4 linked regions of the Struthio camelus genome follow. The protein of the gene in region 2 purifies or fractionates together with the protein of the main gene of each other region. This does not show direct contact. Links are inferred from orthologs where the notes say so. Each region holds a gene or a part of one and is shown on either strand. Other genes may lie near its edges. The genes, in order: MRPS9, ESR2, NUP205 and SRSF5.

What was found.
Region 1: the proteins of ESR2 (region 2) and MRPS9 purify together in Homo sapiens (affinity purification with mass spectrometry; 3 studies listed by BioGRID and IntAct, with this or other methods). This does not show direct contact. The link is inferred for Struthio camelus from reciprocal best matches to the Homo sapiens genes ESR2 and MRPS9.
Region 3: the proteins of ESR2 (region 2) and NUP205 purify together in Homo sapiens (affinity purification with mass spectrometry; 3 studies listed by BioGRID and IntAct, with this or other methods). This does not show direct contact. The link is inferred for Struthio camelus from reciprocal best matches to the Homo sapiens genes ESR2 and NUP205.
Region 4: the proteins of ESR2 (region 2) and SRSF5 purify together in Homo sapiens (affinity purification with mass spectrometry; 3 studies listed by BioGRID and IntAct, with this or other methods). This does not show direct contact. The link is inferred for Struthio camelus from reciprocal best matches to the Homo sapiens genes ESR2 and SRSF5.

Annotation. Positions count from the first base shown.
Region 1 is NC_090942.1:154,010,361-154,017,265, reverse strand, and holds the start of MRPS9 (small ribosomal subunit protein uS9m), read right to left. Parts: upstream 3,001-6,905; 5' UTR 2,952-3,000; coding exon 2,868-2,951; intron 1,033-2,867; coding exon 985-1,032; intron 1-984.
Region 2 is NC_090946.1:75,455,623-75,462,949, forward strand, and holds the start of ESR2 (estrogen receptor beta), read left to right. Parts: upstream 1-4,323; 5' UTR 4,324-4,461; intron 4,462-4,831; 5' UTR 4,832-4,957; intron 4,958-7,327. Other genes in the region: MTHFD1 (C-1-tetrahydrofolate synthase, cytoplasmic), read right to left, coding at 4,094-4,134.
Region 3 is NC_090942.1:54,541,932-54,549,695, forward strand, and holds the start of NUP205 (nuclear pore complex protein Nup205), read right to left. Parts: upstream 3,002-7,764; 5' UTR 2,912-3,001; coding exon 2,884-2,911; intron 1-2,883. UniProt on the Homo sapiens protein: Plays a role in the nuclear pore complex (NPC) assembly and/or maintenance. May anchor NUP62 and other nucleoporins, but not NUP153 and TPR, to the NPC.
Region 4 is NC_090946.1:45,282,561-45,290,527, forward strand, and holds the start of SRSF5 (serine/arginine-rich splicing factor 5), read right to left. Parts: upstream 3,010-7,967; 5' UTR 1-3,009. UniProt on the Homo sapiens protein: Plays a role in constitutive splicing and can modulate the selection of alternative splice sites.

The sequences.
Region 1 (6,905 bases), on a different chromosome or scaffold from region 2:
TTTTACTCAAATTGAACGATTTCCTGAGAGGTAATTGCAAAGCTAGTATTCTCCCACACAGAAAGTCTACTTTCCGTGCACACTGAACCAAACCCAATATTTCAGGTTTCGTTTATACTGTATGCTATGGAAATATGAGATAGCTCTAAACACAGAGACACATTTCAAGCATCAGGCTTGCATAATGGGGAATAGGATTTAGATCTGGTTGTTTTGAGGCACAAGTTATGAAATACTAACAGGCTTTTCAACTCTAGTTTAGTTACCAACGGCAAAAAAGCTACTTCCAAGCATATAGTTGTGGTATACCGGTGGTATACTGTCAGCAGTGACAAGTGGTACTACCCTTCTGATCTCAGCACATATACCATCCACAGTGATTTAGATAAGGGAGCAGACCCAGCCAAATGCAATAGCTCAGCAGAAGATTTCAGAGAACCATATGAGAAGAATGCTACGCAATCACAACACAAATGACAGACAGTAACCGAGTTAGATCATTTATTTTCTTTATAAATTGGGCTAGATGTCTAATTGTGCTTTGCTTATTAGAAGGATAGGACACAAGACCTATTGTTTAGTCGTAGCTGAGGAAACTGAATTACAGAGTTTCTCTTCCATTTCCTCTCTCAATACAAGAAGTTTTCAAACACAGGAAAAGTCAACAAGAAATTAAACTATTTTCCACATTAAGATGGATGAGAAGTAATGAGTTAAATTCCAGCAAGGGATATTTAGGATACGCATCATAAAGAAGGACAGGTAGGCACTTAACATAAGCAATGGTCACAGCAGGTCAAAGAGGTGTGTCAGCTTAGTACCTTGTCCTCAACAACAGCCACAAAGACAGGACAAACAAGTAGCGATGTTTATCCAGGACACTTCCCTGGTCTCCAACAATCTTCAGTTCAAAGACATGCTGGTATCTTTTAATTTAGGAGTCCTCAATTGAATTTTATTGAGTTTGATTTTTTTTGTACTCACATAAGTGATTGGCATCCACAACATCCTTACAACAGTTCCACAGGTCAACTGCATTTCACATGAAAAAAATATCTGTCAGTTTCCTGGGCCCTGCCTCCCATTAGTTCCTTTCATATCTTTAATTCACAGACCGTACAAAATAGGAAGATTCATACATAGCTACAGGCTTAAGTATAGATCCTGCCTTTTGGGGATGGAAGAAGCAGACGAATGATCTCTCAAGGCCTCTTCGAGACCTGCTTTGATACTGTTTCCTCAATTATGATAGAAAAAGATTTCAGCTCAAATTCAAGCAGGGGTCTGACCAGGAAAACTAAGTTACTGCCATAATCCTATCTTTGATAGAGGATAACCAAAGCCAAACAAGATGCTTAAATTGAAAACTACATCAAGCATTACATTTTCAACCTTATTCTCTTTTTCATTCCTCATACAACTTCAGCATGTGAATTTCTGACGGCTGCATAAGAAACTACTCACATGGACACCAGGTCTTTATCCTGAATGGGTTAAATCTAATATTAGAGGAGAAAAGGAGGAAAAAAAAAAGTAAATAGTTCAATTTGCTCCTTCCAGTATTACCTTTCGCATACCTAACAGACCTATCTTCTGTTACCCCATAGTCAGTCACTGAAAAGTTCTTCAGCCCTTACTATCCTAAATTTCCTTGTAACTTCAAAATGTTACCAGCTTGCCTTTATATCCATTTTTTGATCACTGAATTAAATATATATAGGTATATCAAATACCACAGACACAATTATCACTTCAACACTGACAGCAGTTAAGCTATTTAATGAATTGGTACTCTGTTGAGGACTGGTGTCTCTCAAAATAAGCAGATAATTCTCTTCAGTGAGAAACTGCTGCATCTGTGCAAAACATTTCTCTCTCCATTGCAGGAATCAGGAAATTGCATTATCTAGCTATCTGCTGACCAAACACGATTCAAGACAGTCAACCTTAAAAATTATTGTTTATTCAGGAAAATCAAAAGTACTTTTACACATGTTTAGGGCCTTGCTCTATACATTAGCTTTCCTAATTCTAGTAACATACATAAAAACAGGCCCTAACTACATAGAAATATTAAGAAAAAATAAGTAGGTTAACTGTAGGACTGACTTTAAAGTGGCTGGCTTAAAGCTGTGCTAAACACTTACATGTGTATTTACAGTATGTCTTTTCTTCCCAGTAAATACATTTCATGAGTTACTGGGAGGTGAAAGCACACAAGTTTTAGTTTGGCCCGCTCTTACTGAGACACAAACGCCTCACTTTGGTGCGAGAAGCAAGCATATGGGCAGACAGCTATAGCAGGCCAGCAACCACACTGTAAATCCTCGCACCCATTAAACCAACGCAAATTCTGTGCACGCTCCTAACTGTTTAAACCCCGTTTACACCAACCGCCCATGCCCTACAATGCCACCGCTGAACCAAGCCACGCAGAGACAGAGAGCAGTACAAAAACTCGGCACCACTGCGGACCGACAGCTGCCCCACTGGGAGGGGGCACTCCGAGAGAAGAGCGGTGTCACCCCGTCTAGGGGAACACCCCCCCACCCCACCCCACCGTGCCCGCCAGGCGCTCGGCGCTGCCGCCCCGCCCCCGCCCAGCCGCGCCGGGGACGCGAACCCGCGGCGGCGCCTCGCCAGGCCGCTCCCGCCCGGCCCGCGCCCGCCGCACCGGGCTCGCCTCCCCCCGCTTCGTCTCGGCAGCCCTGCCCTCATCCCCGTGTGAAGGGGAGAGCGAGCTGCCGCAGCCCGGGCCCAACAAGCCAGCTCCCCACCCCCGCCAGGGCCCGGAGCGGGGGCAGACAGCACGAAGGAGCCGGTTTCTCGAAGTAGGGCCCAGGTGCTCGGCCCGGCCCGCCTCTCACCTGCGCGCGCGGCCCGTCCCGCGCCGCCGCGCTCCAACGGCCGCCCAGACGCAGCACGCGCCCAACGGCCGCTACCGTCGCCATGCCCGCGGCACCCCGCGCAGGCCGCCGGGGAGAAGGCACAGCGCCGCAGCCGTCGGCGACGGGCCTGAGCGCCGCTGATTGGCTGGGGGGCGGGGCCTGCCGCGCGCCTGCGCGCTGTGGCGGGTGGGTGTCTTCCGTGCTGTGCCGCGGCAGAGCGGCCGTTAACGGCAGGAGTTTGTCGTGCTGTGTCCCAGCACCTCGGGGCCGCTCCTGAGCGCGGCTGAGGGTTGCCGCCATGCGGCCCGACCCCATCTGGGGCGAGGGTGGAGGGCCGTGCTGAGCTCGGCGGCGGTCCTGGCCCTATAGCGCCTCAGTCAGTGCCAGTGGCTATTTTCGCTCCGTAAACGACGGCAGAGCCCGCTCAATTTTGTAACCCGCGTTTAGATTTTAAGGTGAAGGCCAGGGGCTTGCGCGGGCGTGCAGGTGCCGCCCCTAGTGTGCTGACATTCCAACCATAGAGGGCTTCATTTGCTTTCAGTCTCAGCGAAGGGGGAGATAGCGGTTTTTTTTCTTTTTAAAAAAATTACCCTGTTGAAGGTGATACCGAGTGTAGTTACTTAAAGCAGTGGTAAAACAGGTGGTGTAGTTAACTTCCATTCTCCAAACAAAAATGATAAACTGTGTTTTTCTAGTTTTAAGGCCCCGGAACTAGATTTTTACCTAGGCTCTTGTTTTTGTTGAATATTTGGCTTATGCATATCTATGTATTGAAACTTGAAATGTATTTGACAAGTAAAGCACATTAGCATTGTTAGAACTCTGCCTGGTCTTTAAAATTATGGTGTGTTATTTGTATTATGGTAGGACTGGGGACCAAATCAGCAGTAGCCGTCAGGCATACTTACATAAAATTGACTCTGCCCCAGTGAACTTCCAGTCTAAGGAATAAAGCTAAAAAGAAGGTGTCTTTTTAAAGTCGGTAGTGTTGTCAATTGTAGCATACCTGGTGCAAACCTGCTACTCTTGAGAGTTGAAGCACAAAGTATATTTCAGCCTAGCCTTGCTTTTTTTTTTTTTTTTTCCATATACAAATACATATTCTGTTAATCACAGTTGTCTCTTGCCAAATTGGGTTTTGGGATCAATACTGTTGCCTCCCAAGGTGACGTTAATCTACATCCTGAACCTTCAGGATTTGAGACGGTTTATTGTTTCACAGAGTTATGTAGTATATACCTTTACAGGTGATCAGATTTTGGCAATAGTATTTTATATCACAAAAAAGTGTCTGGAAATGAACTAAAACTTTCTTTTCTTTTTAAAGTTTGTTCTACTTCAGACTTATCAGGCCATATCTTTAGGAGCACTTGTTATTTGACAGGAAATTCTGCAGATGAATCTCTTGCTTTTCCACTTTGTTTTTTTCAGCCTGTTCACTGGTGGCTCTTGCTTCCTTCCATTCAACTGTGAGTATGATTTCCTTCCTAGGATGTAAAAGAAGGTATAAGAAAACCAGAAATGGACAAGGGAATCCACCCATGCGGGGAGGTCAAGGAAAAGCTGTCTGGAAAGCCCTGTTTATGGTCACCAACTGTGAAAATGAAACCATCAGTATTTTTATTGACATGGATACAAATCAGTGAATGGTATGAATTCTGCACTGAGTGAAAGAGGCAAAATAGCTCTGTTTTATGCTCACCTGACCAAGGACTGGGAATTGTCGCCATATTTCCATTAACACACTGTGTAGCGATTGTGTTTGGTTAGCAGCTGTTTCTTCCAAAAGGGGAGAAAAGGAGGTTAGGTTAGGGTTAACAGTCCCGGTGACCCACCTCCTGGAGTAGCCGGCAGAGCTGAAGGGGTACAGAAAGCTGTGGATAGCACAGCCTTTTCAAGGACTGTGGTGAGTCTACCATCTGTTGCCTCATTGCTTGGCTTTGTTCAGCAGCTGAGGAGTTCCTCAGTCCTCACTATGCTAAGCAATTGTTACCTGTTACTACTGGCAGCAATATAGAAACAATGTGCCATGGGAATTAACTGTTTTCTTTCTCCAGACATGATAAGCTGTTAATTAAATTTGAGTAGCAGGGCCACCTTATACATGCATTGGCCACAGGTGTTTCGAAACCACTTGATATAAATCCAACTCCCCGCATTCCCTAAGACTCCATCTACACCAGTGGCCACTGTGAAATAAAACTAAATGTTACTGTAGTCTAGACCACATTTTCAATGATGTTTGGAGTCTATATACAGCCAATGGTTTCAGTATGAAATAATATGAATAATACAAATATTTTATGAATATAAAATTGTCCTTAAAAATTGCTGAATGAAAGGAGACCTCAGTATATCTGGAGTCTAGTGTTCAATGATAATGGCCATATTTTGTCTTTTCTGAATCTTTAGAGTGATTAGTTCTTATAAATTTATGGCTACCCATTCAAGATGAAAGATTTTGATAGAAGTTTCCTACAAATCCTTGGATTCAGGTACATTTCCCAACCATCCTGCTGCTGTCAAGAAGTTTACGTGGGTAATACTTGGCCCTGGAAGATTTCTTCTACAGCAATGCCTGGTTTACCAGTTTCTAGATTGGGCATATAGCTAAATACAGCTGAGTGTAGTTATTCTTTGGCATGCTTTGATGAAAATGTGCTGTCATGTTATTGACAGTGTATGTCTGGAACACACTGTTAGTGTGTTCCAGAAGGATTCTTTCTAGTGGAAGAATTGCCACTCCTGCAGGAATGAGTCTGTGTTTGCAAATTAGAAATCACTTTTTAGCACAAGCCAGGCTAAGATAAAAGTGCATGGAAGTTATTTACATGCTCAAGCCCCTGCTTCCCCAGCCCTCTCTCAGAAGTTTATTAAGGCAGAGGGAGGGAGAAAATACAGAAAAACCATGTCTAATCTACTTATCCCAAGATTAATTCCAAACGCTTCTCTTTCCATCTCTGTATTTAGTTGACAGACTGTAGATGCTTACCTAATCCATGCAAACTATCTTGATACTTGGCTTAGCCCTCTGCACATCATTAGCCTCCTGCGTGGCAGGAATATCCTTTTGAACCTAGCTGGGCAATGTTCAACTCCTGGAACTCGTTCATGTTGTGAACCTTATTACCCACATAGTCATGTAACTTGCTAATCGTACTCTACACAGTCACATAACTGGGAGCTGCTGCCTGCAGCACGTTGCTGGCTTTTATTTTTAGACTAGATAACGAGCACATCATTTGGGGTAATAAGAGCTTTGGAGTGCTATCTTTCAAGGACGGTTTGACACTAAGAAAACTGGTGCTTCTGTGTGCTGGCCATGAGAAATTTGAAATAAAAAATCACTAAATACATAAAAGGAAACCAGGATGAGCTTGGCATGTGCATGGGTAAGGGGATAGCCTGAGGAGGATGTCCGTAGTTATATGCTGAGCGCAAACTCAGGGCTGTGCTTCAGTTCAAATTTGCCGACTGCTCACATTGCCAGCCTACGTGTAGGCCGTCTTGGAGTGAGCTTCGGGGAGTCGTTTCGTAGTCAGAGGTAGTATTTGTAGATTTGTAGCCTGAGTTCTGGTGACTGATATAGCTAGTGTGAATACCACTTACTTGAGGAACAGGTATCCCTGTAGCAGTGACAGAGATGTATGGAGCAGGGTCAAAAAGCGTACTGAGTTTCAGCTTATGGCAGCATAAATGCAGCCCTGATATTACAAGAATGGCAGTGCTGGGTTAGACCAAAGCTCTGTTGAGCCTCTTGGCTTGAGTGTAGCAATGGGCAATATCAGATACTTATGGAAGAGCAAAGAGGCAGAACAGATATATGGAGATGCTTCCCTGATACCATCTTCTGATCTGTGATGACCTGAAGGTGGGGAGAAAAGGGGAAGCTTTCATAGAGGATGTAGCAGGATCTGCTGTCGTGCAATGGAGTAAGCTAACCTGCAGCAGAGAGAAAGGGACTCCAGAAGACAGAAAAATGTAATAGGAGAATTAAAACTTCTCGAGATAACATAA
Region 2 (7,327 bases):
GTCCCCTACACGTACTTTCCCTAACAGAAGAAGAAAAGAGCAAGAGTATTAACACTTGGCACTAGTAACCAAAGTACTAGTGGCCACAGTCAAGGCCAGCTGGAGCCTGTTTTTACAGAACAGGGAACGTTGTAATGACTGCAGATAAGTGTCACAGAGGTAACCTAAAGAACCCCCTGCCAGCAACAGAAAGCACGAATGGACCACAAGGAAATGAATAAGAGAAGTTGCAGGATTGGTTAATAGGGATTAGACTATGATTGGGGGGGGGGGGGGAGGTTGCGATTGGGTTATAAGGGGATCAATACAAGCAAGAACTTGTGGGCAAGGTCCTTCTGTGGAGGCACCCAGCTTAAGCTGTACCTTTATTACGCACAACAAACTTTTTTTTTGGTTTAGAAAAATATTCAAAGTTGAATTGGGAGAATAAGCAGAAACTGAGGGTAGAGCCAAAATGGTTGGAGGTGGCAACTGCATAACTCCTTGAAGGTGGCAACTGCATAATGGCTGCAACACTAAGGACTCTCCCTTTCCATGTAACCATCTCTCTGATGTGCAGAGATCATAGCACTGGGGCGCAGCTGCCTACTAGAAGTTTGTTTTATTTTTAAGCTTGTCACCGCTTTGGAGCAGGGTCCTTTTTTTTTTTTTATTTTGTGCTTGTACAGCATCTGATACAATGGGTTCTTGCTCATATCTGGGGCTGCTCAGTGGCATAGGACTGTACTGCACCACGCAATTCACATTAGCTTAATAAATCCAAAGCGTGGTATCTTTGATGCATGCCTGAAACCTTCTAGGTAGGATCTAGAAAGCCATATCTCACAAATATGGGAGATTTTTCAGTTCACACTAGGCTCAGTTTGAGTTTCCAAAGCAGCTCCATAAAACTGTTCAATCCCACTCTGAAAAAGCTAGGTGTTGTCTCTACTGCACTGTTACCTCCAATTATAAGTTTAGCCTGGCCATCACTTCATCTAGTACTTCTTTTACCTCAAAGCAAGCACTAGGTGACCTACCCCTCAGGGCCGGGTGGCGTGTTCAGAGTTCTCCCTGCCATCACCATTTATCAGCCACTAATCCAGACCAGGACTGCTGATCCATTCCTGGTGCTATTCACCAATTCAAGCCAAACCCAAAGCTTTCAGTGCATGGGGCGTTTTCTAAACCTAGGCTGCTTTTGGGGAAATGACTGAACACACTGCTCACTGCAGCGGACCTAAGCTGCAAGAAAGAGCTACTCCGAAGCTTTGCTCTGAGCATCTATTTCAGATACAGAAACAGAGAGGTTTTATCATAAATAAAGAAGTTTGAGCATACTGCATGTTCATTTCTCCTAACCCTCCACGTTCTGTACACTTAAAGCACTGTCCTTCTCATTTGGATTAATTCATTATTTACTGTACTGTTACACAATAACTCATCCTTTGCAACTCATTTGCTCATGAGGAAAATTGTACTTGCAGCAAAATCGAAGGCTGAATTACTGAAAAGCTACTCAGAGATATTGTGAAAAGTCACTCAGAGATAACTACCCAGCTCTCAGTACCTTTTGCAGACTGTTCAGGTATTAGAGGCTGTTTCTACTGAAAGAAACGGCCTTAGCAAGAGACGCATTAACTTAAACATCAAAATCCTGCACACACAATAGTGGCCTGCCGTCCTGCATGCTGTCCTCCCCATGCACAGCTTACAACCATATTCACTAATCTCCCAGGTAATACTTAAAAAAGCAAACAAACAAAGAAAAACTGAATACGATGATTTTCTTTGGACCTTTTCTGAGCCCTTCAAGACTTTCTATGTACAAACTAGCCTTATGTTCTCAGCGAGTTTTCCTTATTTCCCTTATGTAGGGGTCTGCTACACAGGAACAAGGAAGCACACTCTCTCTCTCTCTCTGCTTCTCTTCTTCTCTCTTTCTCTCTGTCATACACAGACACACACACAATTTTTCCCTCTCTTTAAATACGTTTCACAAAAATAAGTATGTCAGTATCTACCTGATTTTTTTTTTTTTTTAATAACTGTCATGACTCCGAATTAGGAACTTCCTTCACCTCTCTTTGTGGAAGAGGTGCTTGGTGGCAGGAGAAGACAATACACAATACTTACCAGTTCTCATTTAAAATACACAGAGAAACCTAGAATTTTGCAGCTGGTACACTGCTGATAGATTCACCTCACCTGATAATATACGACCGACTTGCAAACAACCCCTTTTATTTGGTTAGAGGATAAAGTAACAGACAAAAATACTCTACAAGATAGTCACTGAATAAGCCATTCAGTTGACTATGAAGTCAGGAATATCCTCTTTATAACAGACAATTCAGTTGAAAATTCCTAGAAAAACCACACGCCTATCATTTTTTCTATTGACAGACTCTTGGCCTGTGGGTGCATTCTGGACAGTAAGAGTTCTCTGGATCACTATTTCTCTAGAGGATCTGGAAGAAAAAGATATCTGCAGGGTATATAGTCCCTTTCCTCATACCTCCTTGACGTACTCTACTGGCAAAAAGAAGAAATACTTAAGGCCCAGTTTTTGTAGAGCACACTATGATTTTGCTATACTGGACATAACCATAGTAGGAATAAATAAACTGAAGAACAACAGTTGTACAGTTGCAACTATTTTTCCATTTCTTATGGTCTTCAGGACTGGATGCCTCTGAGATATGTTTCAGGCAAACACTTCAACATTTCATTGGAAATGACATAATCCTTTCTCCTCTATGCACGTACTAAAAGCATGTGCCTTTTCCCAGGTATTGGCACATCACAAAAGTCCTAATCTCTGAAGACAGTTGCTAACGTAATTTAGAAAATAAGCAGCAGCAGAAGTGAAATATCTCCCCATTGTATCTATAAATGTTGAGAAAAAAAAAAAAAAGACAAAACACCATACTGCCAAGGAAGCTAGAAGTTTTACAGTGAATGCTCAGGCTATCTATAAAACATACTCATCCTACCTAAGTTGCTACCTTTCCTGATTTCTAGCCAGGCTAAAATTGCAATAACATGTACCTTGCGAGTGCCTACTGCACTTCAAGAGCAATTTCTATGCCAGAAGAAGCAAATCTGCAGAAGGCAAATCACTAAGCTCTACCAGTACCAGACACAGGGCAGGCAGGATTCACTGGCTTCAAGACTTCCCAGAAGCACGATGGTCCAACGAAGCACACAAGCCAGAGACGAAGCACACAAGCCAGAGACGGAAGTACCCAAGCCATCATTCTAGTAATTGGCTCAACAATTACAGGGTGAAAAAACACGTGAGCAGCCTTTAATCACGGATATTCAGATTCCAAACAGTTTAGGCCTAGTTTTTAGGAATGCTCCGCTGTCAGTCGGGGGTAGATGTGTTGTTCTCAGCAACGCCTAAAAGCAAGCCCTCCTTAACATTGTCCATGTTTTAAACATTGTCCGCGGATTAACTTATCTTGATTCAAAAAGGTGTGACCCACGCTTGCATAATATGAAAACAGAGACCTATCGAAACAAGTTCCCGACTCCTGCCCATAAAGGATCCTTAAAGCGCTGCACAAATACCTAAGGCTAGAAATCACTTCGCCGTTTCACCTCGCCGCAGGCCATCATCCATGCAGGCGCCCACCTCCGCGCCCAGGAGGATGCTGAGCCACCCCAAGGCCTTCCCCGGGGCGGGGGCTGCCGGGTGCCACAGAAAACCAAGCGGACGAGATAGGCCGAGCTTCTTCGGGGCCGGCGTGACAGCGTTTCAAACATTCCTGAAGATCCTCAAGAACACTACTGCTTCTCTCTAGGCTGCTTAATAACACCCACCGCTCCCCGCCAGGCAGCCCGCGCTGACCGCAGCGCACACCCTCGGCCGAGGCCTCCGCGGCCCCCTCCGCGGCCAGCGCCCGGGACCCCCGGCCCCGACCCGGGGCAACCGGCGCCTCCGGGCGGCTCCTTCTCCCTGACACACGGGTTTCCTCCACAAGCACCGCTCTCCCGAAGGAGAAGGGAAAACTCCCTCCGCACGCTGGCGGCGAGGGCAGCCCCGGCCTCTCCCTCCCCTCCCCGGGGCGCTGCGGCGGCTCTCGCAGCCCGTCGCCCCGCTACGTACGCGGAGACTATCTTGCCGCTGAGGATCTCGGCGGGGGCCATGGTGAGGGCGACGGCCGAGCGCGGCGGGGATCCCGGAGCGACTGCGGGCAGCGCTGGCCCCGCCGCGGCCCTACTCCGCGCCCCACGTGGCCACCAACTTTCGGCGCGGCCGCGCAAGCACCGCCCGCGGGGCGGCAGTACCGCCGTGCCGTGCCGTGCCCCTTCCCCTCCCCTTCCCCTTCCTTTCCTCTTCCCTTCCCCCTTCTCCTCCCTTCCTCGCCCCGCCGCCGTGAGGCGCCGGCCCGGCCGCCTCCCGCCGCTGGGCTGAGGAGCGCGGGCTCTGAGGCGCCGCGAAATGGCGGCCGCGCCGCGCTGCGCGCCCCTGCTGTGAGGAGAAGGGGCCTGGGCGGGACGTGGGGGCCGCAGGCGCTGTGAGAGGAGCGGGGAGGGTGGAAAAGCAGCCTCTGCCTCCGCTCGGGCGTTTCAACGCGTTTGTCCGGCAGAAGGTCACCCAGCTCGTCTAATCGGCACAGAAAGAGGGTAGCGGAGAGGGGGGTTTTGGCCCTAAGGTTCAGTGAGGTCTTTGCGGGTGGTAGAAATGAGCTCCCAGTGGCCTCTTCCGAGGGACGTGCCTGCAGTAAGTTATCCCCTTGGGACCGAGGAACATGTAGTTACCCATCCAGCTGGCTGCTCAGATGTGTGTGCTTCTCCATGCCTGCTGTTACTTCTATAACCAGTGCTTTTCCTTATTCTGCAGGTTAGTACAGACATTTTAGGACCTTGCTGAGAGAATGAACTTTCAGTGGTTTTCTCAAGCACACAGCAAACGTGTGGTGATGGTCAAGCCAGAGCTGGAGACGCGAAAAGCAGTCACATGTCACAGGTGAGGCAGGCTTGCCCAGGCAAAGTGAAGTCAGGACCCAGAGAAGTTGAGGAGCCCATCAGTTTTTACCACTAAGATCTAGCACACGGTCAGAGAAGGGGCCAGTATGCAAGAAACCCCGGCTAACAAGGTCAGGGACAGGGAACTCGCAAAGTGCCCCCCCGTAACTTAGATTTTTGCTTCATATAGGGCTTGGAAAAAGGAAGTTCATTCAGTCCTGCTGCAAGGTAATCATTTCACAAGTGGGTTTGGGAACTGTCAGGTTTTGAGAAGGGAGAAGTACAAGCCTCTCAGGCTCCCTCTGGGACACAAAGCTCTGAGATACACGTATGGGTCCTTCAGCCACAGAAGCTTTAGGATTGCTTGTCTGGGATTCTAGGAGGGGAATAAAATCCATACATAGTTCAAAACTTGTCTGAGGGTAAGGCTTTTCTCCTTTGATTTCCGTCCTTCCATAGCTATGGCTCTTTTGCCTTCCTCCCCCCCCCCCCCCCAGCTTTCATTTTAGCGAGGAGAGAACTCGCTGTCTGTTGAGCAGTCAAAGCATCTTAAGTTAACAATATGTTGCAATTATAAGACCAGAGGTTAGAAATTTCTCTTTAAAAGTGACATGGAAAAGAGGTAAAATTTTGCATTTTGGAGCTTTTATATGCTAAATAGAAAAAGCTAGAAAGAACTTCTTTCATTATATATTCCCTTTATTTCCCGGAGCATTCCAACAGTTGTAAAATTATACACTTAAAACTGAGATTAGACAATTAACTGAGAGAAGGGATTTTTTTCCTAGGCTGCTTAAAATTCTGTGCTTCGTTTGTTTTTGCTGTTGCCTTTATCTGAGCCCTGAATGAACTTTCGGGGGAAAAAAACCTATGTTTTTAGAAGAATTCAGAAGACACACTCCTTTGGTTCAGGACAGCAACAGCTTACAAAAACAAGCTTTGCCAACCAAGATTTGACACTTACAGTGCAAAAATATCAGGCAGGAGAAGAAAAAGAAGAAATCCATCTCGTTCGGATGACCTGATTTGCACAGTGAGCAGAAGCTGGTGCCATCAGGAGCTCTGGTTTCCTACCCAGAGTGGCTAGCTTGCATGATTTGTGTGTGCGTGTGTTTGTGAGTCTTATAGCATATGCTAGTTTTCTCAGTGTTCCAGCTCTTGAAAAAATGTGTTCAGGAGAAATTTTAGATAAAAAGGTAATTTTTTAGCTCTCACGGTGGCAGATAAAATTTTGAAAATGACCTGAATGTATTGTCTAAAAAATGAGAAGGGAAGTAAAAATAACCCTAAACAACTTCTTTTTCTTATTTCATGATTTTTAAGCCAGACTCATTTTTGGGAATGAATTTTAAATGCTTATGCCAGAAAATCAGACTTACTAAACTGCTTTTTATCATAGGAGAAATATCTTTTGTATTCCTAAATTTTCTCATTAGTCAGGCACGAAAGCTCAGATTGCTGCTCAGAAGTTGTGGGTGTCATGCCTTTATGTAAGAACACCTTCTTTAATGTTTAATCTTGATTGTCATCCTGAGGTCAAAATACTAGGAATGGGATGGGACCCTCCCCATGGAAGAGGGATTGGGTGATGAGAAATGGCTGAACAGACCCCTCTGCTCAATTCATGTCAAAGCTGTATCCAGCTCATAAATGGCAGCAGAAAATTTGGGGCTACTATCATGTAAAGGAAATCGCAAGGAAGCACAGTGGCAAAGGAGACAAATGTTGTGAAAATATGTAAAAAGTCGAGAGCGATGATCACTGTTTTATGCTTTGAATACACTTCTTTTGACCATGTTAACACAAAAGGGTGAGGAAAAAACCAAAAACCTAATGCCATGATAAGAACGGAGAGCTCTGAGTGGTCTGTGTTGTACCAAAGCAGACTTATCCTCTAAAGGCTGTTTGTTAGGATGAAGAAGGATAAAAGCAGCCGCTTCAGGGGAACGTGAAGCTGCAGGATTTCTGAGATGTCTCTGCTCTGAGCGCTGCCCCAGGACAGTTGTTCTACTTCCCTCACCTCCCAGGCATCCTTGGGTTTGCAGCTCCCACAGTATGACTGTTTACCTTTACATCCACCCCCCTCTTACCTAACATGTCAAAAGTCATGAAGGTTGCTCTTTAAAAAAACCATGAAGCCTGCAGAATCCACGCCAGAAAGACTCTCTGTTACTGGTGAGCTAACAGCTGAGCCTGTGATTGCACAGAGCCCCAGAAGGTGCAATTTGTTCTGAGGAACTGACCTTTTATCAGCAAACTAAGGAAGAACGTTAGAGTGTGCTTTACCCACCAAGTAGAACAGTTAGGACAGGGCATCTTTCTATCCCAGCTTGCTCACTTCCAATAAAGGAGGAGGAACAGAAAAGTAATT
Region 3 (7,764 bases), on a different chromosome or scaffold from region 2:
CAGTTTTACCACTACCTAAGCAACCTTGGAAGCAGTAACAAACTCTGCAGAACTTCGCCAATTTTGTTCTGTTGCAAAAGGAGGAAGACATCAGGTAAAATAGGACTAAAAGCAAAACAAAAAACCCTCTCACCCCAAACCTAGCACCAGCAAAACTAGCATCTCACATGCTAGCATTTACTATACTATAAAATCTGCCAGTGGAGTTGTATCTGGGAGAACAGTCTGCAAAAAAGACAGGTCCTTGTCCTTTTAAAACATCATTAAGCAGCATTTTAATCATACAATGTTACCCCCGCCCGGATAAATTCATTAAAAATAGTTACTACTGGACAAACAATTTCACATTCCAGATTGAAGTTAAAAGTGGGAGAACCAACTACAAAGTCCAGAGATTGACTTCTACCCTAAATAGTCTTTTCCAACCATCACTCCTATTAGACTATATAGTCCAACGAACACCAGCAGCAATCCATGCTGCCTGCCAAAAGCTGTTCAACTGCTTCCCTGCCCCAGCTTTTGCTCTTGTGCCTACAATGCAATTGCTTTGCGCTAGCCCAAATACTTGTACTGTCATGCACTAGAACAAATTAAAGATCAAGTCTAACTGAAAACTATTCCAGAAGAGAGTTTATTTTCAGTAGGATCACCTCTCCAATCTGGTTTGCGCTGTGATGGCACAAACCGCTAGGCTACCACAAGGATGGAGTATTGCAGAGAAAGGAACGAGCAACTGGGGATGGAAGAAAGGTTGGATCACTGCATTTCTTTTAGCAACCATGCTGACTTTTGCCACTTATGACGTTGGAACGATTACAGTTTTAAAAGGACTGACAAGCGAACAGCAAGGAAGGACAAGCTGAGTTGCTGCTTTGGGAAGCAATGCCAGTTTATGCTTATGCTTGAAGTTTTTGCCAAACTATAGACTTAACCACGTTATGCTTGTCCCCGCAAACAGGAAACTGTAAACCAAGGCAACATCTCCATCAGTTCTAGTGTCATATCTACTTTAACTTTTATCTCATCTTCCATGTATAACAGCTGCCACCTCTTCCCTCATTCTTCTTTAAACTGTATCGCTACAGAATCTCTTGCCATGTATTTTCTACAGCAAAGTCAAAATGAAAATTGCAATAGGTCAAATGAAATTAAACACCCACATTTCATGTATTGAGAAACACAGCCATAATCACCCTTCCCCCGCCCCCAAATAGAGGGGGGGGGGTTTACTTTATTCCTTTTTCTTTTTGTGAGGGGGTAACCGATTCAGTTGGATCAAAATACCTTCCCTGCAACAAATTACTCTTTATTTGGTACAGAAGTTGAGCTTTTAAAACTTGATAGCTGAATTAGCTCACTGTGCCATACAACACCTTAGTTAACAGACCTTTTGGCCCCATCCATGTTCCACTCATGACTGCTTCTTCACTATGTTAGATTAATATAGGGATAACAAATACAAAGTTCAGCAAAAGCAAATGCAAAGTCCTGCATCTGAGAGAGAATAACTCCATGCAACAATAAAGCTGGGGCCAACTGGCTAGAAAGCAACTTTGCAGAAAAGCACCTGCACGTCCTAGAAGATGAGAAGCTGAGCACTACTCAGCAGCACACCCTTGCAGCAAAAAAGGCGTTGACACACTGAGCTGCATGAACAAAATGACAGGGAGCAGGTCTAGGGAAACGATTATTTGCCACTGTCAGGCAACTCTGAGAGTACATCACTCCAGTACTGGGTCCAATTTCTGACTCCCCAGAGCAAGAAAGATACTGAAATAGGGGGCTGAAGAACACCCCGTATCAGTAGAGGCTGAAAGAACTGGCCTTGTTCAGTCTTAAGAAAAAATGGCTAAAAGGGTGAGGGGAGTTTTTGTCTCTCAGCTAGTTAATGGGTGAGTAAGGAAGATGGGAGACTCAGGCGCCTCAGGAGATGAGCGGCAACAAACACAAGCTGCAACACAGGAAATTCCAAGCAGCTATTGAGAAAAAAAGTGAAACCACTAAGAGAAGAGGGAAAATACTGCAACTGAGGCCCAGAGAGGCTAGGAGATCTCCAGCCTTACAAATGCTCAAAACTAGCCTGGACAAGCCCCTGAGCAACCTGACTGAGTGGGTCCTGTTTCAAACTGTTTGGACCACATAACCTCCACAGAGCTCTTTCAACCTAAATTATTCTCCATTTATCCACTTTCCCTCCCATTTTAGCCAAATCCCCCAGTTACACTGTTAAGCACCGCCTCAGTCAGTCACAACCGCTCCTTGCGGCCAACTTTCAGGTCAACTAAGTCATCCTGCTGCTCCCGAGCGCTAGCAACGCCGAGCACAAGATGAACCAGCGCAACGTTTCTAGACTGCTCGGGGTAGCACCGAGCAAAATTCAACATGCGCTTCTTTTTTTCGTACTTTATTGCGCACAGCGTTAAGACAATCTTGGCTTTGTTTGCGAGGCACAGAGCTACACAGAAAGGCGCACGCGTTACGCTATCACAGACCGCTCCGAGCGAAGCTTGCCGTTGCCGCCCACGTTTACTGACTTGATGGGCCCCCGCTCCCGCTCTCAGCCGAGCGAGGCGGCACCTCCGAAGCGCAGGACTTCGCTCCGCCGCCAGCCACCCGAAAGGCCTGGCCGCCGCCGGTTACCCGCCGCAGAGGAGAGGGCCTACGCCGAGCCTCTCCTCCTCCGCTGGCAGCGGCCGCCCGACCCCCAAAGCCACCCTGCTCGGCCCGGCCCGCCTCGCCTCCCTCCGGGGCGCCGCCCGCGCCGCTCCCGGCCCCGCGGGGCAGCGGGGAGCCGCCGCGGACCCCCTAGGCGACGGGGAAGACCGAGAGGAGCCGCGGGCGAGGCGGAGGAGCCGCCGCGGCCCCGCGCCCGCCGCCTCTTACCCGAATTTACCGCCAACGGCGCCGCCATCTTGGAGAGCAGCGAGGCGCGCAGGCGGCGCCGGCCCCGGGCCCGTCAGCCCGCCGAGGCGCCCGCCGCGCTGCCTCCCCCGCCGCCGCCGCCGCCGCGGCAGCGCCACCCGCCCCGTCCCGCTCCGCTCCACCCGCGCCGGATGGGGCGACGACTCCCGCAGCTGCTCCCGCAGCCTCGCTTCTTCCCTGAGCCGCCGCCGAGCGAGCGAGCGAGCGCCGCCGGCCCGACAGCCGAGGGTCCTGCGGCGGCGGCGGCAGCGCCTGCTGGGACTTGTAGTCAGGGACGGGGCGGGGAGTTTTGGGTTTGTTTTTTTTTGTGGTGGTTTTTTTTTTTTTTTCCTGTTCCGGATTTGCCGCTTCTGTGTGTCCGTCCGCTCCGGATTGGGGTTAACGCGCTTTCCAGGCGACTACCGGGAAGGGAGCGGGAAGCGGGTGGGTGACAGCCCGGGAGGCAGCCCCGCGCTCGGCCGCCGCCGCCGCCGGCGGGATGTCCCTCCTGCCCCGGCGGGTGTTTCTTTTCCCCCACCCTTTATGCCGGTCAGGTCGAAGGGAGCCTTTCCTGCCCCGCCGCGTAAGCCGTGTTGTTCATTAAATAAGGCAGAATGTCTGAAGGCAGATATTGCACCAGCAGGTAAATTTATTAAACCTGTTCCTTTTTTTTTTTTTTTCAATTACAAAAATACACTACTGTTCTTTTCCTCCCCCCCCACCACCACAACCTGAATGGTTTCATTTTCTGTAGCATCAGACTGATATCTCTAAAAAAAATGAAGTAAATCATTTGTAAGTCATTTTTATGGCAGATGATCCTTATTTAAAATGCAGATAACTAAAACAGCCCTATTCACTGATAAGTAGTAAACCGTAAGTTTTTGCTCAACTCTGTGAGCAGGTGCGTGGCATTTAAAAGTCATATATTTATTGGTCTTTCATAGTGAGCTAGGGTTTACAATCTTGTATAGGAAAAAAACAGCCCTCAGAGGGAATATACAGAGGAGAAAGCTGCATTTAAACTCAAGGTATGCACAAGAAAAAAAAAATACCGAGGATGAAGAAAAGAAACTAAAAGGACGTTTGTACATGCGTCTGGAGCTAAAGAATGAATATTAGTATCTAAGAAGTCTCCTATATCTGAAGTCAATTTACATGTGCTATGCCAGTAGTAATCTCAAGTCACCTCCAGAAATTCCCTCCTGTATTACCTCTAAGATAAAAGGTTCCACTAAAAGTATATATTCCTTTTAGTGCCAGTAGTTTTCCCTCTTGAACTTTATTAAAACCATATTTCAGCAGTTGCAAAAGAGGGTCCAATGAACTAGACCTACGGGAAATTGGCAAAATAAATATCTTTGCCTCGCTAGATCTTCAGTATAATGGGATAGCAGAGGGGTAATATAGAGAGAGCAGAGGCCCTGGAGTGAGAGCGAATTGGCAAGACAGTTTCGAGAGACCAAAACCAGAGAAGTAGCTTCACAAGGATTAGTCAGAAAAGAAAGAGGAGAGAGAACGGGAAGAAAATTAGAGGAAAAAAAAAAGTCTGTCCTGTCAAGAACAGGTTCTTTTAGAGTTCAAAGGATGAATGAGTTCTCATCAAGTTGGCCTCATTTGTTCATTTAGTCAAAGGGCTTATGTTTCCTTGAGATTTCCCTTTTCCTGGTCTTAGCCATTAGCCAGTGCGGGCGTAGCACAATGAGGAGTTAGAAGATGATAAATAGTGAATTGTCTGATTCTAGGAAAGAAATGGTGCTAGGCACGAGGTGAAAGTAGAAAACAAGCAGGTTATTCCACAAGCAGTAGGACTAACACAGCCTGGGTTCCTACAGACTTGTATACGGCATCTCTGTATCTTCTTCTGTACCCTGGTCATTGCACAGCCCCAGCTCTGCTCCTGTTTTGCCCAAATGCTTGGACCATGAGAGAGAAAGAGTAAGCATGCATTACAGTAAATTCAAAGACACGTGTGCTGATCACCTGGCGAGGGCAAACCTCATGGGCAGCTTGAAGTTTTGCTTCAGCCTTTCCATCCACGGGGATCCTAATTTAGCTCTTTTTCCTTTAGTTGTTCCCTGATTTTCATGAAACTTGTGAGGACATACATTTTTGAAGCCCTTTAGCCTCTGATCAGATTAAGTTGGAACTGGGCAACAGGTTCAGAAGTTACTGGAAAAGTTGGGCAGACAAAGAGCGCAGTTTCCTAAGCTTGATTTCCTTAAGAAACAAAATTTAAAAAAAAAAATGAATCAATTCTTTAAAAAAGCATTTCCCAGGCATTAAGAGCTGTCATATTTCTTTTGGCATTCAGTTGGATCCAGCTTGCACACACTTTTTTTTTTTAAATCTCTGTTGGAGGAAAAAATCCGGTCTAACCACTGCAAATTTAATATTTTAAATTTCCAGATAGTTCTTTCTTGTCTTTGCCAATTGGCCAACAGTGACAGAGCAGCATCGAGAAAAAAATAAAAATGGAAGTAGAAGATAGTATGGGGTAGATCACTGGGCAGCTGAACGTCAGAAGAAAAATACCACATTTAGCTCCAGCTACATAACATTTTTTATTCCCAGTCTCTCTGTTGGCAACATGATTTTCTAAAAAAACAGCTTGCCGCAGAACAGTTGTGGCAGTACAGCTCCTAGTACGGATGAAGAAAGAAGGGTGTCTAGATAAACCATACCATACCATACGCTGTAAACATTTCTGTTGGCCTAACTGCATTCGTCCGTGCCTTGGTGAGTAGGCAAGTCCATGAATAGTAATGCTGGCTTATTCTTGCTTTATTTGCTGTCCTTTAATTTAGGATTTTATTGTTTATCCAGGATAACTGGCTGGTTTGGTAGACTATTTTTGCCAAGACACTACATAGGGAAAGAATACCACATTCCTCTTCCTAACAGTAGTTCTCAGGAAGTTCTCCAATACTGCTGGGTTCAGTGAGGGATGCATGCCTCTTTCGTCCTTAATTAGGAAATTGAAATCTGTTAAGTATCAAAGGTAGGCTGACGCTAAATACCTGAGATGGATATTAATTCCTCTGAATTCCAGAGACAGGAGGTCATAGTCTGCCTATAGGGTAGTGTTCCTGCTTGTGCTGTGTGAGATCTTCATATAAGAGATGTTATTTTCTGCAGGTGGAAATAATTGCTGGTAATAATCAAAATGAGCTGCAGAATGAAAACCTGATCTTTGGCTAGAGATTCTAGGTGCTTTGTGATGTAATACAAATGTAGCATTATTATTTTTAATAACACTAAATTTAGTCGTTATGTTTCATGGCCAAGTCACACATGAAGATACGGAGATAACAATGAAGATCCTGTAATTTCTTTTCTTTACATTCTATTATGATTAGGAAGAACAATTATTAGTAATAAAAAGTGCATTACTGTAATGCCTAGGAGGCCATCCTTAATTTCCTACCTTTAATCTTGAGTGTCACTGTGATCATAGCCTGCCCGATGGAGTAGAATGAAAATTAAAAAGCTTTTCTGCATTGTAGCTGAAAAAGATGCCTTGTAGAAGTGCTTCTACATAAATACAGACTAGCCTTTACATTGTGAAATATGCTTCTTTACTCAAAAAAATGGAAAGCATTTCTGGCAACTGATTAAACAATAAAACTTCTTTGAGCTCTCATGTTGACTGAAACTAACACTGTGCCTCTCAGCTTACTCGTCTGTAAAAATGGGTATAACACTTCACAGTAGGCCTGGAATGCTGATCAACTGGATCTTTAACCCCCGACCCTATCTGAAAGGGGGGGGGGGAAGAATGTGCTTTTTAGTTATGTTAACTCGGCTGAGTAAAAACTCTGAGTTCTGTCACTGTGCAGGCTAATTTCCCAGAAAACTACTTAGCTGGCTGTAATCCTGTCTTTATTGCAAAAAAAAAAAAAAAAGGTGCGTTTTGTACATCAAGTTAGCTTGGTGTCAAATCTTAGAAGAATCAAAGTATAAGACCTTTCCCTGCAGTGATTCTCAAAAAAATAACTTTGCAATTTCTCTGTTTTCCATCCTAGATATTTCTGCTGTCACCATGGTATCTAAGCTCATCAGAGAAACTGTGTGAGGTTGTTGCTAGCTTGGATAAGTAGTTTATCTAGTTCAAGGCAACAAAGAGCTAAATGTGCTCCCAGTTATATGAATACCTTCCTCAGGATCTGGGAATGGACAGAGAGGAGGTGAACAATGGTGAACAAGTGCTGTCCTTCTCATGTCATTTAGGACAATTACTGACCTTAGGTATCTGATCATAAATGAATGTCTTGATAAACAGTAATTTTCCTGGGTCTCTGGACCCTGATCTCTGTTCAGGCTGCAGAGGTAAAATTGCTGCATGCTGTTTTGTGAACCACGCGGGTAATTAACTTTTTCCTAATTCTTGCTTTGGGGTCCTTAGACCTATCTGTCTTTTTTTCCTTTGTTCTCTATCTGAGAGTTAAGAATAGATTTCAGCTTCTCTTTTCTAATAATTTCTTCATTCAGCTTCTGAAAGGAATGAGGCAGCTACTAGCCTGGGAGATAATCTGATTATTGTAGCAATGTAACTGCCAATAATTAACAAGAGTTGGAAAAAAGTGCAACAGGGAAAACGGTGGAAAGACAATGTACAAGCAAAGTGGAGATATTTGATCTAGTAAGTAGCAGTGTTGGCACATCAGCTGCCTTATTGATATTCATTCTGTTCAGTGATTTCCATATCAGGTTTACAGATGGTTGATGTTTTTGCTAGTTGTCAGTCCCACAACTTCAGGCTGAGTTCTGAAAGTCACATGGAGCTCTTTCCAAAGCATGTTATGCCAGTTGTATAGACTCTGCAGGCTGTATTATGCACTTGCCTTATTACACCTTTGGATT
Region 4 (7,967 bases), about 30 Mb from region 2:
CACTAGCTTTTCTCTTTGATTACAAAGATATATACTTGCGTTTTGTGTGACATCTGGCTCTGTGAGAAAAGGAAAGATGATTCACACATAGGAGAATGTGTAGCAGAAGAAAGAATTTTGGCAATAAAAGACAACGCTTGTGATAATCCACGTGGATCATAACCCTTACCTGATGAGAAAGATACGTTCCGGTGTGCCATCTAAAATGTAACAGCAGTGATTTCACAACGAGCTACACCGTTCTAACAGGTAACACCGGAACAGGCAGGCAGTCCTGATCCTGCCAACACTGCATCTCTTCTGACTGGAGAGAGAGCCAGTTCACAGAGGTAAACAAGTGAAAACTAGCTCTGAAAAAGGCAGCAAGCAGATTTGTTGCTTTGACTCCCTGAAAATCAGCTTGCAGTGGGATCAAAACAAGTGCTGGCACAGAGAAGAGAGGAAGGAGCAGCAGCACCCTATTAAGAAACAGCTGTTAGTTCATTTTTAGCAGCGTGAAACTGCAGCCTAAAAGCATTGTCTTTGTTACTGCAAGCCAGTAACCTCCTCTTTCTTCATCCATTTTCAGACCATTGGGAGCAGGGAAGCAAAAGTCAGGAGGGGATCCAGGAGGCAACGATCACTTGTTGAAAGGTTTCCATGCCACCCAGAGGTGTTACCACATGAAGATCTAGCACTTTTTTACTCACATGGGGTTTCCACGCAAGGGCCGTTAACAGACAGATCTGTTTCCACCCAGTTTCTCCATGTTCTGTGTTAACATGAAGGAATATTTCTCCCTTTGCAGTTTGCAGGCCATTTTTTGACCACATGGGACTTTTCATCACTCTAGCTGCTGGCTAATCTAGTAAACGTGCAGAACACCTACATTTCTCCACACAAGCAGGCTGAAAGCCGTCTAGTTAATTCATCAAGGTTACTGGTGAAATACTGTCGTTACTATTTGACAAGGCCGCCTAACCTCTGATGACACTAGTCCATAAAGTAGTTCACAGTCTTAATCTACACAATCAAACATCGGTTAAATGGCAAGGGAATATACATTTGGCTATCTGAAATTAAGATGTCCTGTCTTCTGTAATAGGCTCAAGGCTGACTATTGCTTCCTTACTAGAGGCCTGTATATATACTCTACCCTACATGACTATTTGAAAGCAAAAAGGGGACAAGGCGGTGGGAGACTAAGTGAAAAGCCAGAATGAAATCCTAGCTTGTTCACTTGCTCATGGGAACTAGAAGGCAAATCAGAGGGGATATTTGGGTTGCGCAATTCTTGACCACTGCTGGCTGGGCTGTGCCATTGTTACTGTTTACTTAAAGCAGAAGGCCATGAATGCATATCCTTCCTGAATGAGGAGTGGGGACAGATTTGGTGATCTACAAAGTCAGGAAAGGCATAAAGACAGTGGATGAGGATTTACTGTTCACTGACTCTTTCAGTACAAGAATTAGAAGTCGTCACAAGAAGCTGGTAAGATGCAGGGTCAAACCACCTGAAAGGAAGTGGTTCTTCACCAACTGGTAGTATACCTTTGGAATAACTTTCTGGAGGATGCTCTGGGTATATGGTTTCACCCTACAGACAGCTATAAACCAGGGGGAAGGAGGGAACAGAAAAAAAGGGAGGAGAGAGGAAAAAAAGAGGGACTCCCATTCAGAGAGACTACCTTCAGCTGTTGAAGACCATCTGCAGAAATTACTGCCCCTCAGATCCCAAGGGAAGCTGCTTGTTTAAGCCACATAACCAAAGACATACTTGGCACACGGCCAGCTTCCGCAATGGTTCTGTGAACAGAAGCAGAAATGTTTGTTAGCATCCTATTCTCCTACCAGTGAGCATATTCATTACTGCTTTCACTGTGTTTCCCCATTTTGCTCTCCTCCGACCTTTCTTTACTTTCTTCTTCCCCATTCGCTTATTTGTCTGTTCTCTGTCCCTTTTTTCCAAAGCTCTGTGAATAAACACATTTCTGTTACCGATCGATCAAGTGTAGCTCTCTGAGAGGTAGCAGCAACAAAGGCTCTAGAGCTACTTTTTACAAGTGTCAGAAAGATGGCATAAAACTAAACAGGGAGAATTTCACCTTTAAGCCCCAAATGCTTTTTTCAAAATCTTTGGAGAAGGAAAATGAAAATTGAGGTAGAAAGAAAAGAATAACAGACATTTAGAAATAAATTTTTCCCTGGGTTACTCCATTTTTCTTTGTACACGCTTTTCAGGAAAGCTAAACCTGTCAAGTGGCTCCTAACCAAATAGATGTTAGTGTCATGCTAAGAGTCCTTATCCACCAGCTATAAATATATCTAGCTGTAGCACACATTTTGCACTAAGATGAACTCAGTAGACTCTAATTCAGTGAGAAAGTTACTGCCACAGGCCTGTGTTATTCGGCAGTCAGTTAGAGTTAGAGAGCCTGACTGAGGGTTACTCTACTACAGTTCAAATTGATTCTCACTGCTTCACCTACCTAGTTGCAGCTGGCTTATACTAGAATCGCTTAGACGCAGTTCCTCACACCTGTCTTTCCCAGCCAAACATAATAATTAGCATCCTATTGACTATAGCTCTGCAGCAGCAGTCAACTAGTCCCTGAGGTAGCTTACGCTAACACATGGATCTGTAGCTCATCACTGAAGTTGCAGACCTGCCACTTGTAGTTGGTGTGCATTTGTTACTTGGGACTAGGCTAGTGGCTGTGGCTCAGAAGAAAGGCAGCTGAGTCAGGAACCCACCACATCCCCTTTGCTAGGATCTGGAGAATTCACTGCCTCTGTCCCTGCAGTTTGCCACCGTATGAGGCAATTAAGGCTCATTAGCAGCAGAATTGTGCATTATCAGATCACATAGCAATAGAGATTTAATGCTAATACAACATTACACACTGTCATGTTTCTGACATCATCTAGTGCATGCAGTAGGGTTTAGGTTAGCTTCATGTTTTTATGCTGAATTTATGCCAGCTGCAGAAGGACACATGATATCGGGGCCAACATGATACTTGCAGGTACAAAGTAAAAAAAAAAAAAAAAAAGATTTTTTTTTCCTCCCTGGGTTGATATTTGAATAATCAGAACAAGTTTACACTGGATCAGTATGTTTAGGTTGAGACACTGAAGAAGTCGTGAGGAAATCGCATGACCCCGTGAGAGCAAGTTGTGCACCACTACAAAAACGCTTTACTGGGTCGGAGTTGTCTGCAAACTTTCGGAGGGTAACTGGAGAGCTTCTGCAGGATCGTGTGCAGCTGTTCCTCAGCTAGCCCATAGCCATTTCCTGAAGGCCTCCTAAGCTCCTTTGTGTATTAACCCAACATTAGATGTACCCCCAAATGCAGCCTGTGACACTGCTGCTGCTTGTCACCATGCTCTGCCATTACAATTCCAAGCAACTCGGTTCATACCACATCTTTGATTTGGCAAACCATCTCTTTCTTTGTTTACACAGCCCCAGTTACGAACACCAGCAAGAATTTTTGTTTTTAGCAAGAGAGCAGATTGCAAAGACTGGATATGTCATGTCATCTTCACCTCTTGCTTAGCTGAGACCCCGTATTCATTTTAAGAAGGGTGTAGGCCACAGTAGGGAAAGAATAGGATAAAGTTTACGTGTACTCAAGTAGACAGCACTTGCAATATCCTTAGGAAACTCATTGAAGCAACTGACAAACCGTCATTGAAAAATCTCTGGCATCATCCTGAATACCCTACTTCCCAGAGGAGCAGAGAATTTTACACTGGCAAGCTAAACCTAAAAGACCAGAAAAGCAATGGAACAAAAGGTCAAATAATCATTTTGTAAATATTTTCAGTCTATAAACTGAAAGGCTGCTCATGCCAACATGACACACAATCAAGAGCAAGTTGTTTCAAATCAATCTATTTCCTTTCTGTCTTGGAATAACAGAGCTAGCAGGCAAGAGGAAAAAGCACAGATGTGTTAAACTTGGCTGTAATAGGATTTTAGTGATATGCCACGTGGTTCCTTCTTAAGCAAGCAGGGAAATGTCAGGATAAAATTCACTGGAAGCTAGAAACACACCCTTTTCAGTGTTTGCATTCAAAGTAGTCCATTGACAAACTTGGGAACAATTCCTTTGTGGAATCAGGGATATCTTCTTAGCACGCCTGCATTAATAATTTGTTTAGCAGAATAGAGCATACAGTGTTAAAACATGCAGATGAATCAGCCTGGGAAGAGTGTCAAATACTCGGAAGACAAGAAGAGAATTCAAAATGAGTCTGACAAATGGAAAGAATGATTCAACAAGATGAAATTCTGCAAGATTAAGGGCAAACTATGTTTAGGAAGGAGAAGTCTAATCCACCAATACAAAATTGGAAATACCCATTTCAGGTAGTAGTAATGTGTGTAATGGCTGGGAACTAAAGTGGATTACCATCTAGAAATAAGTAAACAAGTACAGTGCTGTTGTAGAAACAGAAAAAAAATATTCTGGGATGTGACAACAGGAAGTATGATATCTAAGGGATGAGAAATCGTCTGCTTAATGATATAATGATGGAAAGGGCTGATGCTTCACCAAGCACTACCTTCTGATGCAAAGCTTCAAGAAGGACCTCAATTTTCTTGTGGCACAGTAACTGCTCAAACACACATTTGGCGCCGCACAGTTCACGAAAAGTGATTATCTAAAAAAACGAAAAACCCCCCACCACCGGAAGAAAAAAAACAAACAAGCAAATCCTCACACAAAGCTGTGGATTTTGCAGTACCCTCCAGGTATGACAAGACTGGGGTATATGGGGCTTTGTGATATCTTTAAGAAACAGAGGTCAAACCCTTGCAGAAGGCTGGAGTGTATTATCAATGCTGCAAAAGTCTTTTCATCTTTATATCACCTGCAATGCTTTGCTCCGAGTTTTCACATGCTTTTCTAGTCTGGAGAAGATGGTGCATGTCCCATCACTAAAGATAGTTTAGTTTATTATTTTAAAGATAGTTTAGTCTGTTATTTTTATATAAAAGTTACACTAAGCAAACACAACATTAAACCAATAAACTTGCACAAATCAGACAAACTCATTAAGTGGTAATCACGACAGCCCTTTTAAATTAGCTATACTAATGCTGTCACATTACACATGTAAGCACAAAGCGGAAAGGATAAAACTTGTTTTATATATATGTACATATATGTATACACACACACACACACACACACATAATGACATCCTGGTTCCTTCAACCTTCTGATAGATCGTGCTAGAAAACAACGCAAGCTCCAATTTTATCTACTATTTAACCATCCAGGAATTAATGCCTAGCACATACAGAATTTTTATGCCACAATATTCATTTTGGAAAAGATGCGATTAAAGCATTGTAACTCTTTGGAAATCCATATACCAATAAAGAGGTCTTTCTTTTCATATTGCTTAAAGATACAGGAATACATGGTATTGCTATAAATATGACTTGATACTACAGTCAATTCAGTGGAAGACTCAGTCCAGGAGGTTTCTACTCACCAGTATCCACACTACCGAATCCACAACAGCTCATTTAACTCCAAAGTGCTATGTGGTCGAGGCGCTTTTCCTGCTAGGAACCATGCCACTGCATGACACTGGGCCACTGAGCTTTAAACCTTCCTGCAACCTATGTAATAGACATAACAGCGCGGAGCTAGCGTAACCAGGAAGGGCACTGTAACGCACACTCCCCCTAGCCCAAAACAATAGCCATCTAAGCCCTCAGGAAGACAACAACTCACACTTGTAACGTTTCCCTTGTAGCCACAAACACTGGAAACGTTGTTTAAACGAAAGATAAGATTCAGTAGAACAGGCTCATCGTATCACCAGACAGCAGCGCTTTCTGCAAGATGTGCTCCATCAGCACACCTGGTATTTGGTGCTACAAGGCACCCTCATGTACAGCAACCAGGAAATAATTTACACCAGCAGATATACCAGTTGAGGTGGTACAGCCCAGAGAGTCCAACTGCAGGCCTTGGTTTGCCTGCTGGTCTGGTAAAAGGGTCGGAGGAAGATTTTACATGCATCTCCTAAGCATCCAGCTTTGACTGAGCAGTGCTACCTTCTACGCAGATTTTAAAGGCCTATGCTAGGGTGCAAAGGTCAGCTCACACGAAGTTTAAACTCAGAGCCCTGACATCAGTGTGCAGTGAGCTGCTGTGCGCGTGCCAGGCTCCAAAATAGCAGTAACCCAATGTCACAAATGTCTCCAGTATTGCCTCCTCTCTCCCTCACCTAAACAGGCCACTGAGGGGATGGTTGTCACAGAGCCGGGTTCAGGGGAGCAATCTATCTGGATCTGATATTTTTAGTTAATCACCCACCATCCTGTCAATCTGGTGCCAGAAGTTAACAAACTTTTAGCCTAACAGATGGGAGTTCCTCTGGCCCCGAGCTAGGGCATAAGGCCCATTACAAGGAAACAGCACAGCTACTGCCTTCACTACTTCACTACTACCCTTCACCAGAAACACTTGCACTGCCTGCCCCGGGCTTGCAGGCACCATATACTGGGCCTGCCAGAGAGGCGGCTGCTCCTTGCAGTGTCAGAAAGGGGCAGGGTTTTCCTGTTCCATCTTAGAAAACAACTGCAGATTCAGGCATCCTGCGATTGTTGGGAAGCTTCAGAAGACAAGGCTAGAAATGCTGGTTTCCAGTTCCTGCCGGTAAATTATTTGTTAGCCTTATCTTTGCTCCTTCCACCATTCTTGGTCCAAAACACCTCTTTGCTTGGTGCAGGAATCGGCATCATCTCCAACTGAGAACTGTCTACATGTTTAAGATATGACGTAATGATGGAGCAGCTACCTTCCCAAATTCTGCATTCAGATCAATGATTCTATTACTTTTTCAGCGTTGAGTTGAGACTGTCCCTTTTAGGGAAAATAAATTTTTTGTTCAGACACTTTTTGAGCTTTGCTCATGAACAGAACGGTCAGAAAACTTAACGTTTACATTGTTTTAGGAAGACTGAACACGTTGGGGGAAGACACATTTTCTACTTTTTCTTCACCCCAGTAATATACTACATCTATTGGTCTAGAGTTAAGCGTTCACCTACGACAACATCCAGACTGTGCATCTGCCAGGAACAAAAGACATGATTGTGCAGATCTGCTTTCTCTTTGGCATCATTTCTGCTGCCCTGAAATAGCCAAGCCATCTCTCATACAAACCCCCTGAGATGGCTAGTACAGTGAATGATGCATTAAATAAAGCCGCATCATTACGTGTCATTATCAGCTTTGCCAGGGATCCGATTCTGCTATGTGACCCTCCGATGTCTTCAGCTGCTAATTCCCAGCACAAACATACATCCCACCAGGCAGAAGAGTTTTCTTCTGTTACCACTGTCAGACTCAAACATCAAATGGCGCTTAGGATTACCGGCCCGCACAGGTTGTTCTTCCTAGTAAGCATGTTCTGTCTGGGAACAGAAAACAGGAAGACAAAAAGCTGGCAGGCCAGTTCAGCATTCAGTTTTTTCCTAGTCTCCCAGCCACTACCTCCTGCCTTTTTTAAAGCATAACCCTTTCCCTCCCTTGACATACAGAGAAATTGAGAGGCCGGGCTTCCCTTGCTCCCTTTCCTCCTTTCACGAGGAAAGCTTTTTCTTTTTAACCCATATTTGCTTTTCAAAATTCCTCCTGTTACACTGAGTTACGGCCCCTCGAACTAGCCTAGAGACTCCCTTTTTCTCCCAGGCGACTGTTCCCTTTGGATGGTTATATAAACCTTCCTGAGTTGTCCCTGCTTAGGCAAGGTATACATATTTAGCGCTCTTAATCTTTTCTTGTAAGTCCTCCTAGCCTCTGATCGTTTCATCACTCGTCTGTGAGCGTCCCTCCGTTTTTCTGGATCTTAGACTTACGTGCAATACTGCTGATGAAAAAAATAAGTATCACTCTGCTTGACTATGTGGACACTCCCCTAGCTGCCTCCCACTCCTTCCTACCATCTGTTTGTTG